3 linked regions of the Arabidopsis thaliana genome follow. The main gene of each other region encodes a partner of the protein of the gene in region 3 in a complex. Each region holds a gene or a part of one and is shown on either strand. Other genes may lie near its edges. The genes, in order: PnsL1, PnsL4 and NdhT.

Region 1 (3,759 bases), on a different chromosome or scaffold from region 3:
TGAACCAACTCAGAATCTAACTCACAATGCCAAAACCATCGTTGGAGTTATAGAGAATATGAAAATATCAAATTGTTATCTACAGACAGTTTTGTAACCACAGAGAGAGAAAGATATATAGGAGTAAGATGTTTCTTGTGTTTGTCAAATCTGAAGGATCTTCAAAGAGTCGGCCACAACTTGAAGCTGCTTTTTCACTTTCCTCCACCTTCTCTCATTTGCTCCAACTATGAGAGTGTAGTATCTGTCTGCAACATCAAATCAGTCATAACACTTGTTTATTCCTCAATTTCTTCTCTCATCTATCTCATAATTCTTATAATCTGTGCTTACTGTTTCCAACTGCCACTGTTGCAAAGGAAGTGGTTGCATAGATAGGAGTTCTTAGTCCATACTCAAACGTGTAATAGTTCTTTCCATCTTCCACCCTCTGCATTTTCATCTCTTATTGTTTATAAAGATCCAATCTCTCAACAACTTTGATGATTCTTTAAGATGTTAACAATCATCTGACCTCTTTCATATCGTAGATGGTAGCTACTTGGTTTGGTGCTGCAAACTTATGCTTCACTAGATCATAAACCACCTGATGAACATATATAAGAATGATGAACCAATGTGAATTCTCTAATGACATAGATGGTAGAGGGAAAGTAAGGTGTGTAATACATACCTCTTCCATAGGACCTACTTCATGGATGTCGTTTTTCTCCGTTGGTATGAACCTGACCCGCACATTCTGCAGTTGCAAGTATCTATCTTTGAAGGCTGAATCATGTGCCCTGAAGTCAAATTCCTACGTAGTAAGGGCAGAACAGAGATATTCTCAATTCATTTATGTTTCATTCTTTCAACAAAAATGGAAACAAAGCCATTACCCACCCTCCAGTCTGATGGGTAATAGTAAGAATACCCGTCTTCTCGATCCACAAAAGGCGAGTAGCTTTTTGGTATCTCTGCAAACATGATATGAATCAACATATTAGGCTTTTGGTCCCAAAAGAATGAAGAAGAGAGGCAAAAACAAAACCCTTAGTTTTGCAGATTACCTTCAGCAAGAAGCAAAGTTGCTGGAATTGAAGTTGCCACTAAAGTTCCTACTCCCACAAGAGCTTGCCTTCTCTTCCAATTGTTTCCGCTGCCTTTTTGGTAAGCTATTGAATTTTAATAAAAATCAATCCACACAAGTCAATGTATTACGTATGAGAAGGAAAATGTCACAAGAGTTTAGTTTCTTACTACTCTCCGAGGAGTCGGCCTTACCACCGGATGAAAGTAAACAACAAGCTTTGAGTGATGGATTTGGACAGAGAATTTCTGTCTGGTAAGAAATATGAATCAATGAACAATAATGATTTTTAGTTTTCAGAAATGGAGACTGGAATCAGAACAGTGTTATTAACCTTGTGGGAGATTGTTGGTGAGAAACCACCACAGCGGATTGAGAGTGAGGAGACTGCCATAGTGGCTACAATTCACAAGACTTTTGATGATCAATGAACATTGCCTTAGTGTTCTATGTGGATAAGAAATTTCTGATTTTCGTCATTTCTCGGACTTCTCCATTCATCAACATGTGGATAAAAGGATAATGAAAGATGCAAACAATATGTGGTGATAGATCGATTTATGATCATTTACTGGTTAGAGAAGATACTGCATTTGTATGTTTACAGTTTATAAGTTAGTGAGTTTTAAAAAGAGAATCTTGATAAGTCAAAAACATAGAACTTGAATTCAACAATAAACTGCAACATGAATGTATTGTAAAACGTTTTTGCTCCAAAATACTACAATTACCAGATGATAGTAATAATAAATATCTTAAAAGCAAAACTGAGACTACAAGAGACAAAACCACAATAGTCTTTATAACTGCAGAGATAGATAGACTTAGATGATGCCGATCTTGTTAGCAACATCCAAAGCATCATAGTCTGGTGTAAGCCTCACGTAAGCCTTCTTGGTTCCATCAGGCCTGTAACAAAACCAAACCATAGTGTCAAATATATTGAACATAATCAATCTCACAACAAGGCTTCATAGAAAAATACTCTTTAAAGTACCTGATGAGTGTGTTCACTTTCTTGGTCTGGATGTCATACATCTTCTTAACAGCATCCTTAATCTTCTTCTTGTCAGCACGAATGTCAACAATGAAAACAAGAGTGTTGTTGTCTTCAATCTTCTTCATCGCAGATTCAGTGGTGAGTGGGTACTTAAGGATTTGGTAGTGATCCAACTTGTTCCTTGGAGTAGCGCTGATTTTTGGGTACTTACCAGTTCTAGGCTTGGTAAGAGTCTTTGGCCTGTGGAAGGTGACCTTGGTCCTAATCTTTTTGTCCTTCTTCTTGAAGGCTTGACCAGACTTCACAGCCTTTGCCGCCTTCAAGGCCTTGGCCTTAGGATCAGCCTTCTTGGTAGTATCAACTGCAAATTACATACAACAGAGAGTTTAAGCATCATATAATACTTTGATACAAATCTGACTTCAATACATGAATACTCAGAAACACGTCTACAGACAAAATTCATTTGGATACTACATTAATCTCACTTAGTTGAAGCTAATCAGGAAGATATTGAAACTAATCACCTAACGAAACATGATTAGAAAACATTAATCGAGACCAGATACTAGCGGGTTCAGCAAAACTAAAGTCTAGTAGAAGAAGATCCAAATCCATCATGTTCCAGTGAAGATTCAAGTGGTTATCAATGAAAAGATCGTACCTTTAGCCGGAGACATGGCTTGAAATGATTCTTCACACACGAAATCTGTGAAATTTTTAGATAGAAACCCAGAAAGCGAAGCTCAGTAATGAATCTGAAGAAAGAAATGTAGGACGATTTCGAGAGATAGTTTGCAAAATCGAGACACGAACCTGGAGAGGTGAAGCCGCTGATTCTCAAAACCCTAACTTACGCCGCAACAAGTTTTATAGTGGAAACTGAAACCCTAAGATACTTAGTTGGGTCTATAATGGGCCTTTTTACCACAATCATCATCTAACCCAGTAAGCTTTGGATTGAATAAATGGGCCTTTTACCATAATCGTCCATCGGACGCATAAGCCATAAGTGACGAAAAATTTCATTAGAAAAAAATGAAAATGAGCATAAGATCACTGATTCTTTTGGTTGCACAAAAAGATACTTAAAAGATAATATGGGCTTGCAACATTGTAAATAGGCCTTTGACCAAAATCATCATGTAAAACCCAAATAGAAAGTGAGCGTAAATTTAAGTTACTAGTTTATTTTTAACGTAATGGTATTGGCGTAAGAAACATACAAACGTGTCTTTTGTCTTACCATACAAACGTGTCTTTTGGCGTAAGAAACATATTTGCTTCTTCTCTTGTGTCTATGACCTTTCTTTGGTTTTGCCATTCCAAAGTAAATTATTACAGAATAAAATTTAGTCAGCTTTGGTTTGACTTGAAAGCATACAATCTTTGACCAAACCAAAGCAAATCGAACAATGGCTAACCAAAAAACAAACCAATTGGTCACGAAACTAAACAATAATCATTTACTTACGCTTGACAATAAGAGAACAACAAGCCTGCTCTACATGTCTAATATTTTACGATAATTGTGAAGAAGAAAGCTTTAGCTGAACTGGCTTCTACCATTTTTCAAAGGTTCTTCTATATCTTGGGTCGGTTGTATCTAATACAGTTTTTATACTACATAATAGAGTTTGAGAGGGCACATATGTGACTCATAACCATGTCATGTCACGGGGTCGTTTAA
Region 2 (3,759 bases), about 12 Mb from region 3:
CTTACCAAGACTGAATCTAACCTAACACGCGCTTATACATTTATGCAAGTATATGATTTTCCAAGGTCATAACTTAACAAAAAGACAGATCTGCACAGAGAAGATGTGTCTTGTTCTTTAATAGGAGGTTAGACATTGGATTCAGTTGGAAATCATCAATGTTTTAGGTTACAGAAATTATAATCTGAAGCTTGTCAAAAGTAATCACCTGGTGATATACATCACATACATAGTTGTTTGTTCCTTTACCAAACGGGATTGGAGTTGGCTTCATCTTGTATTACTTCCTGGGTAGATCTCAACAAAGTTGATATCATAGAGCAAAGTTGCATTGCCAGGTATGTTGCAGTCACCTGCATAAAGAGTCGATTTATTACTCGAGATACATATCTTACATATACAAGTGAAACTGTTACAGAGGAATTGTGCAAGTACCAGAAAAGCATCCTGCAGGCTCTGGTCCATAAGCTAACTTAGGTGGAATCTGAAGTTTACGCTTTCCGCCTGCAAAATAAAACCGCACCAATATGTTATCAGCCAAATAAAGGACATTGAACAAAGGAAAATACAGTACACTTGCCTACTCGCATAGGAGGTACTCCTTCGCCTCCAAGAATCCCCTGGTCTAGTCCCCTAATTACCTGATCATTTTTGGACATCAAGAGTTTAGATATATAGTTGTTTTGCTCACCCTAATCACAAAGAAGAACATAAGAAACTAACTAACTTCAACAAAGACAAGTGTGAACTTTGCTAGCAATGCAATTGAAGACTATGGAAGCTAACAAAGAGAGAGAGAGACAATGGTTCTTTGTTGTACCTTGCCGACTCCAATTCGCATAGTAAGTGGTCTTGCACGCTTATAGCTACTGTCAAACAACGTTCCATCTGCAAACCTCGCCGTGTAATGGATCTGTGTGTGTGTGACCAACTCTCCAAAGTCTCAAACTTTGAATCAAAAACCCTAAACAGAGGAAATTAGAGAGATGGAGAGATTACATTGACGAGTACGCCACGAGGGGCTTCATCACCAAATCCAACATCGAGATCGCAAAATCCAAGTCCTGATTTTGCGTAGCTGTATTCGCAGAGAGGATCTCCTACAGTGGCGTAGTAGTCAATCCTCGTGGCGTCTGCGTCCAGAGGCGTTAGAGAGAGAATCGAAGAAGCTAGGAACCCTAAACCCACTCCGAAAACGCGTTTCTTGACGGAGAGTTTCGGCTCGCAATCGGAGGAAGAAGAACAGAGACACGAAAAGGACGAGGAAGAAGAAGAAGAAAAGAAGATGGTTGGTCTGAAGGAACGTGTATAGAGAGATTGTGTGAGTGTTAAAGTAGAAATCGCCATTCTTCTTTGAGTCTTCGTTTCGATCTCTGCTTCCTTATCTGCGTGAAGCCAGAGCCTTTGGTCTGAATCTTTTGTCTTTTGAGTGTGCAACGGTACAATGGATATGATTATGGGACCCACCCGTATTTTTTTGGATTTCTATTTTCAACAGAACAAAAATAATAATGAAACTTTTGGAGCCAATCGGCCCACAAAATTGAGAACCCGAATCGAATTATTTGGATAGTAAGATAATGGCCAGACCTAGTTATCACTCAACTATGAAACCGAGTATCATCTGAATACATAGAAAACCCATCAGTGCGACAATAGCTTGATATCATGGTCCACCATAACCACCACCATAATATTAAACCATCATCATCACCCATTATTATATATTCCATTTAGATAGAGATACACATATATGCACATTGTTGATAGTTTATGTAAGTGATGTGTATAGGTTATACAGTGCATTGGTGACTTAAGTGTAACTGGTCCGTGGACAAAAAAATATCAAAATCATTTGAACTTTTGTATACACAAGAACAAGCAAAAGATTTTTCATCAAATGTCATTATTTGTTTTGCGACCATCAATCCATCATCAAATCTTATTGTGAAAAACAAGAATTATTATTTTTAAGAGTTACTATTATACTATACAGTAGCAAATGATATTATTGAAAACCCCGCTTACAAAGAACTGACATTTCATTCTGAAGTGTTGTTAAGCTAGAGACTAGAAAGAGATATAAATTAAGCTGAATATTCTAACGATTGATTGGTTAATGAGAAGACTGAAAAAAGTTAGGAATTTTGTAGACGCATCACATTCAGAGCCGTGACAAGGTCAATGGTTGTCGGAGGCGGTCAAATGAAATTTGCCCCTATTCACAAACAAAGAGACTTATAATAATAGAAGTAAAAGTGTCTATAAAGATAAATTGTCATATGACAAAAGTAGGTCAAAACCAAAATGTATGTATAATTATCATTATTGATTACCTGTTTTTCTTTTGCTTGGGAAATTTTCAAATTTCAAATCTGTTGGTATGGTAAAATGAGAGTCAAGTCAATAAAAATTGACGTTAATGTAGATGATACACCAAAAATGAATAAGCACATGGGAGAACAGTAATTTATCAAATTTCAAATCACCACAAGTCTATAATTAATTAATAATTATATACTATGGTCCCAAAACCATATTCCACAATCCGGCGGCCGTGGAAGATTCCCCAAATTTCGCCACCATTCACTCCAATATTAATTAGGAGAAATATTAACCGTAGTGATCCCAAAACCACGTACTGTATATTGATTGTTGAAAAATTAAAATTTCATATCGCAAGTCATCGTTGTCATTAAAATTTAAAAGTTCTATATAATTATAAGAAAATATACCAAGAAAATCTGATTCAAATGGTGAGATCCATCTACTAACTAATACTTACCAACATATAGTTATGGAAAAAACTAAGATTAACAAATAACAAGCATATTAATTAAGTATTAAATAATTAACAAACCCTACACGAAAAAAGTTTTAAAGTGGTTTATACTGAAATATAGAATATATAAACGAGTAACTTCATCATGCTATATGTGCTATGTTTAATTTGTTGAGTAATCATGTCAAGAGATTAGCTTTGATTTCGGACTTGGACTATACATAAATATATTTATGTTCTCTGGTCGGAAGACGAAGATAACCAAGTACCGTCATTATTATGTTCATGATCGGAGCCACCGTAGCTTCCATTATCACCGGTGTTTATGTTCCCGTTAGCCGCTGCCGTTGTAGTAGGAGGATTAGTAGATGGAGTCTGCATCATACCAAGACCAAACTGATCGTGCTCATTGCTTCTAGGGTTTGAAATATGAGCTTGAAGAAGAGCTTGCAGATTCATATCCTCGAAACCGTTGTTAGGGTTTTGATATTGCTGAATTTGTGATCCGGATAAGAGAGGAGTCGCTGGAGTGAGTTTTTGAGCAAACGGTCGTAACAAGAGATTGTTGGTGTTGTAAGTGTTTGGCGAAGAAGAAGACAAGCCGAGGAAAGTGTTGAGGCGCGTGGTGTTCACGATGGAGTTGTTGTTGAATAGCGGTGGAGCTGGGATTCCGGTAAACTCTTGAACCATCGCTCGGAAGTTGGAAGTATCCGTCGTTAGAACCGTCGTTGGTGCTCTTCTTGATGCTCGAGATCTTTTCTTTGTTTTCTTGATTACTCCTATATTGTTAGTAGGAGGGAGTGATGACGTGGCGGAGGAGGTTCGGAGGTCGAGTTGAGAAATCGGGTCGGGTTGTTGGTTTACGGGTAAGAACGTGTTGTTGTTAAAGTAGTTTGGTGGTATTAGAGAGTTGTTGTTGTTATGGTCGAAATGGAGGAGGTTGCGATGGTTTTGTTGCGGCGTGGGTATAGATGACA
Region 3 (3,656 bases):
GAAATTTGCTCACATTGAAGCCTCGCTAAAACAGTTCATTGAGACAATGACAACACAAGCCATGTTCCAAATCAAAATGTGATCGACGACATTTAGTACTTAACCGTTGACGTCTCAATTTGGGTTTCCAGTGAAAGGCTTATAGTGCTTAGTGTGCAGACAATTTTGGCTTCTTCACGTGCTATCACCCTTCATTTACTCAAACTAGTCTGAAAGAACAACAAAATCCTTTATCACTTCATCTAGTTCTATTAGCTTATGTGCGTTTGTTATGCGGATGGACTGAAGTTTGCTTGATAAATTATGCTTCATGTTTTTCTTTTGTCATGGGACCATTTATAGTCTTTTGATTATACTCTTAAACTGTTTTCATTTTTAGTGAAATATTTACATCTTAGGAAAAAAAGAAAAAAAAACGTAGTCAAAATGTGCATCGAACAGTTCTAAGGAACACGTCTAAGGAGGATTGAGTCAGGTGCTACATATATATAAGACTTGATAAAAGGGTATTGTTGCAAAAGGTAGTGAAAAAAGGGTAGTTTTGCAAATCTCCCTAGTTTTTATTCCTACTATACTTCCCAAACTAGTGAATTCCGCATTAGTTATCAAAACTACTATTTTGTTCGCTTTGTTTTATATAAATGAGACTATTTGGATTAGCTAGGTAAGCATAACAAAATATAGCTCTAAAACAATGTTTGGATAGCTTAGAAAAAATCCAAAAATAACACACACACAAAAAAGGTGAGGAACAGAACCACTAGACCACTTTATTTTAGTTCAAATGATCTTATAATCTGTAATTGTTAATCTTCCATCTACATATAAACTATATGAATTTTCCAAGTATATACAAAGCTCCTTACCTAGTAAGAAGGATCTTTGAAAACAATCACAAAAGCTATACAACAAACAGCGAATAATACGATCAAAATATCGAACGTGAGAGCAGTCATTGCTTGATCACTAAGCTCCATGTTTCTTCCACCTAACCGGTCAACCATATCAGGTATTGATTCATAGCCCCTAAAATCTTGCTCTTTCGGATCCTCTAGCTTCATTCTCATTTTCTCAGCTTGACGACTCGCAACTTCTTGAGCCAGTGTCCAGTCATAAAACCTCCGAGTCTCTTCATCGCTCAAAACATTGTACACTTCTCTTAATTTCATGAACTTTTCTGAAGCTGTTTTAAGTGGTAGTGAAGTTGTATCTGGATGATACTCTTTAGATAATCTCCGGTACGCAGATTTTATCTCTTCTAGATCAGCATCCGTTGAAACACCTAAGAATCTGAAAATGATTATTGTTACATGTTACAATACATATTGAAAAATAAAAATAAAAAGATATGTAATGAGAATGTTTGTTTTGCTCACTGGTAATGAGAATCAAAAGAGTCTTTGATTAGTTCTGCAAATTTTTCGTCACTAAGGAGATTGGTTTTGTCCTCATCAACCGATTTGGCCGGGTCGGATCTTCCTCCGATCCAGCCTTCGTCCGGGCTTTCCCAGTGGATTCTTGTGTCTACTCCTGGAGATGGTTTTGACGGTTTAGTCGGGCCTTGTGACGCGTATATACGCGTCACTCTTCTTGCTGTTATCCTTCTAAATGCTTTCGTGTCATCCGTGAAATGCGCGCCGTTTTGGATTTTGGGTAGGATAATGCATGAGGTTCGTGCATAGGTAGAAGTTGCATAAGCCATGGCTCTGTGTTGAAGATGGTTTGTTCTTTTTTTTTCTGCCCTTCATGTTTTTGGTTTCTCTTACCGCAGAAACTTGTTCCAGAACCTCATGATATGTGTGGTGTAGATTTTCTTTATATCTTTTGTTGTCCTATCTAGTGTCCATAGGAACAAAAAATTTAAATAATTAAATGTCAACAAAAAAAAAGTATGAAACGTAAAGATATAAGAGACAAAACGTTGAGAAGAGAGGGGCAATGAGAGGAAGAAATAATGTAGAGATAAATGATTTCTTTCTTTGGAAGCGATGTCTAAATATGTTATGCAACAAATGTGTGCGTTTGTAATATATATAGGGTAAAAATAGACAATTGTATCATAATTAGGATATGACCCGCGATATACCGTAAATTAAATTTATTTATTTATTTTTCTTTATCACAAAATATAATTTGTTGTTTGTTGTTGTTTGTGATGATTAATAATTATCGATAAGGTTGTGTATGTTTTTTATTGAGTCACAATTATGATATTAATAAGTCTAATATATGTTATTTTATCTTTTAGGATTTGACTTGTGATAGACCATACCACGGGATAATATTTTATTTTATTCATAATTTGTTATAAAAAAATTATTTAATATAAACTTTTGGTGTTTTCAAATTTAATCCATGGAACATATGTAGTTTAGTAACTTTATATTAAAATTACACATTTAAATGTATCAAAGAAGAATAACATTTAGAGGTGTCAAAGAAGATTAACACTTATACTAAAATGTTGATTTTATTTATTTTTTTGTAACTAAAAATTTGAAATTAAAATTGTATTTGTTATGTTATTATTGTTTGTTTTGTTTACTATTGTATAGTTGTAATTTGATTGTTAATTCTAGGAGTACACCCGTGGTATCCAAATTTTTCCCATCTAAACTCATAGCACCATATAATCTCGTCTCATCCAAACCCGTCCTACCATGTAAACTCGTCTCCTGTAAACCCGTCCCGCCATATAAATCCGTCCCGTGATAACTAAAAATCAAATTGTTCTTTTTCTTTTTAATAATATTTTTATTTAATATACTTCGAGTCGGTTTACAATTTCAATTTAAAAAGAAAAATTGTATAATATATTGAAATTTTAACAATTTCAATCTAATAAGAATCAATATCGGATCGTTTCGAAGATTTTATATCGAATTCTTTGAACAAAAAATAACACAATTTCTTGTTAAATATTTTGTATCTTTTAAATTAATGTATTTCCTATTTGTATATTTTATATTCAATATATTTGGTTTTGATATAAATTAGAAAATCCGTTTAAATAATTATTAAAATTTGAATCCCGAAGATATTTATGTGATTTTTTATAATTTAAAGATTGTTGTTGAGATTTTTTAGTGTCTATTTTTTGTTGCATTTATTTGTTTGCAAGGTCTATCATAATTAAGGTGAAGTTACAAAAAGATCTGTAAAGTATAATATCGTTCACATATTGATTATAGAATTATTTAGATTATTTTTAAAAAGGAAAAAATTACAACATATGCCATATTTTTTCCAATCCTTATGCAATCTGCCATAATTTGCTGGGCCTTACAACTCATGTCATATTTCATACTGAAATATCGATTTTGTCCCTCTCCATTTCTTCTCTATTTTATCTCTCCTTCCTTGAAATCTGTGCGCTTTAACCATATATTATTATCTTCCCGAAGATGAAGCGCTTTTGTCACTCTCTCACTTTCTTTGACAACCTGCACAGATTCTTTACATGTAACTTTCAATTAAATTTGTCTCTCAATTTTATTCATCACAATATTTCTGTTGTATCTAGATCTTGTCCTTGATTTCATCATTTTTTACCATCTATTTTGGTCCACAGATTAGTTGAGCATTATTGTTTTCACCGACACGATTTTTTTTTCTTCTATTGTAAAACAACAAAAATATTCAGTTATTACATATTA

The links.
Region 1: NdhT (region 3) and PnsL1 share a complex: the UniProt entries of both Arabidopsis thaliana proteins name them as parts of the chloroplast NDH complex.
Region 2: NdhT (region 3) and PnsL4 share a complex: the UniProt entries of both Arabidopsis thaliana proteins name them as parts of the chloroplast NDH complex.

Annotation. Positions count from the first base shown.
Region 1 is NC_003071.7:16,474,039-16,477,797, reverse strand, and holds the start of PnsL1 (PsbP-like protein 2), read right to left. Parts: upstream 1,601-3,759; 5' UTR 1,464-1,600; coding exon 1,404-1,463; intron 1,322-1,403; coding exon 1,240-1,321; intron 1,155-1,239; coding exon 1,050-1,154; intron 957-1,049; coding exon 883-956; intron 797-882; coding exon 674-796; intron 587-673; coding exon 515-586; intron 431-514; coding exon 334-430; intron 249-333; coding exon 145-248; 3' UTR 1-144. Other genes in the region: RPL23AA (ribosomal protein L23AA), read right to left, coding at 1,894-1,978, 2,067-2,430, 2,734-2,749. UniProt on the Arabidopsis thaliana protein: NDH shuttles electrons from NAD(P)H:plastoquinone, via FMN and iron-sulfur (Fe-S) centers, to quinones in the photosynthetic chain and possibly in a chloroplast respiratory chain.
Region 2 is NC_003075.7:18,426,979-18,430,737, forward strand, and holds the start of PnsL4 (FK506-binding protein 16-2), read right to left. Parts: upstream 1,601-3,759; 5' UTR 1,348-1,600; coding exon 1,000-1,347; intron 914-999; coding exon 821-913; intron 642-820; coding exon 581-641; intron 505-580; coding exon 436-504; intron 354-435; coding exon 271-353; 3' UTR 1-270. Other genes in the region: AT4G39720 (VQ motif-containing protein), read right to left, coding at 2,202-2,218, 2,337-2,375, 3,052-3,759. UniProt on the Arabidopsis thaliana protein: NDH shuttles electrons from NAD(P)H:plastoquinone, via FMN and iron-sulfur (Fe-S) centers, to quinones in the photosynthetic chain and possibly in a chloroplast respiratory chain.
Region 3 is NC_003075.7:5,930,451-5,934,106, forward strand, and holds NdhT (Chaperone DnaJ-domain superfamily protein), read right to left. Parts: upstream 2,026-3,656; 5' UTR 1,703-2,025; coding exon 1,377-1,702; intron 1,291-1,376; coding exon 867-1,290; 3' UTR 660-866; downstream 1-659. UniProt on the Arabidopsis thaliana protein: NDH shuttles electrons from NAD(P)H:plastoquinone, via FMN and iron-sulfur (Fe-S) centers, to quinones in the photosynthetic chain and possibly in a chloroplast respiratory chain.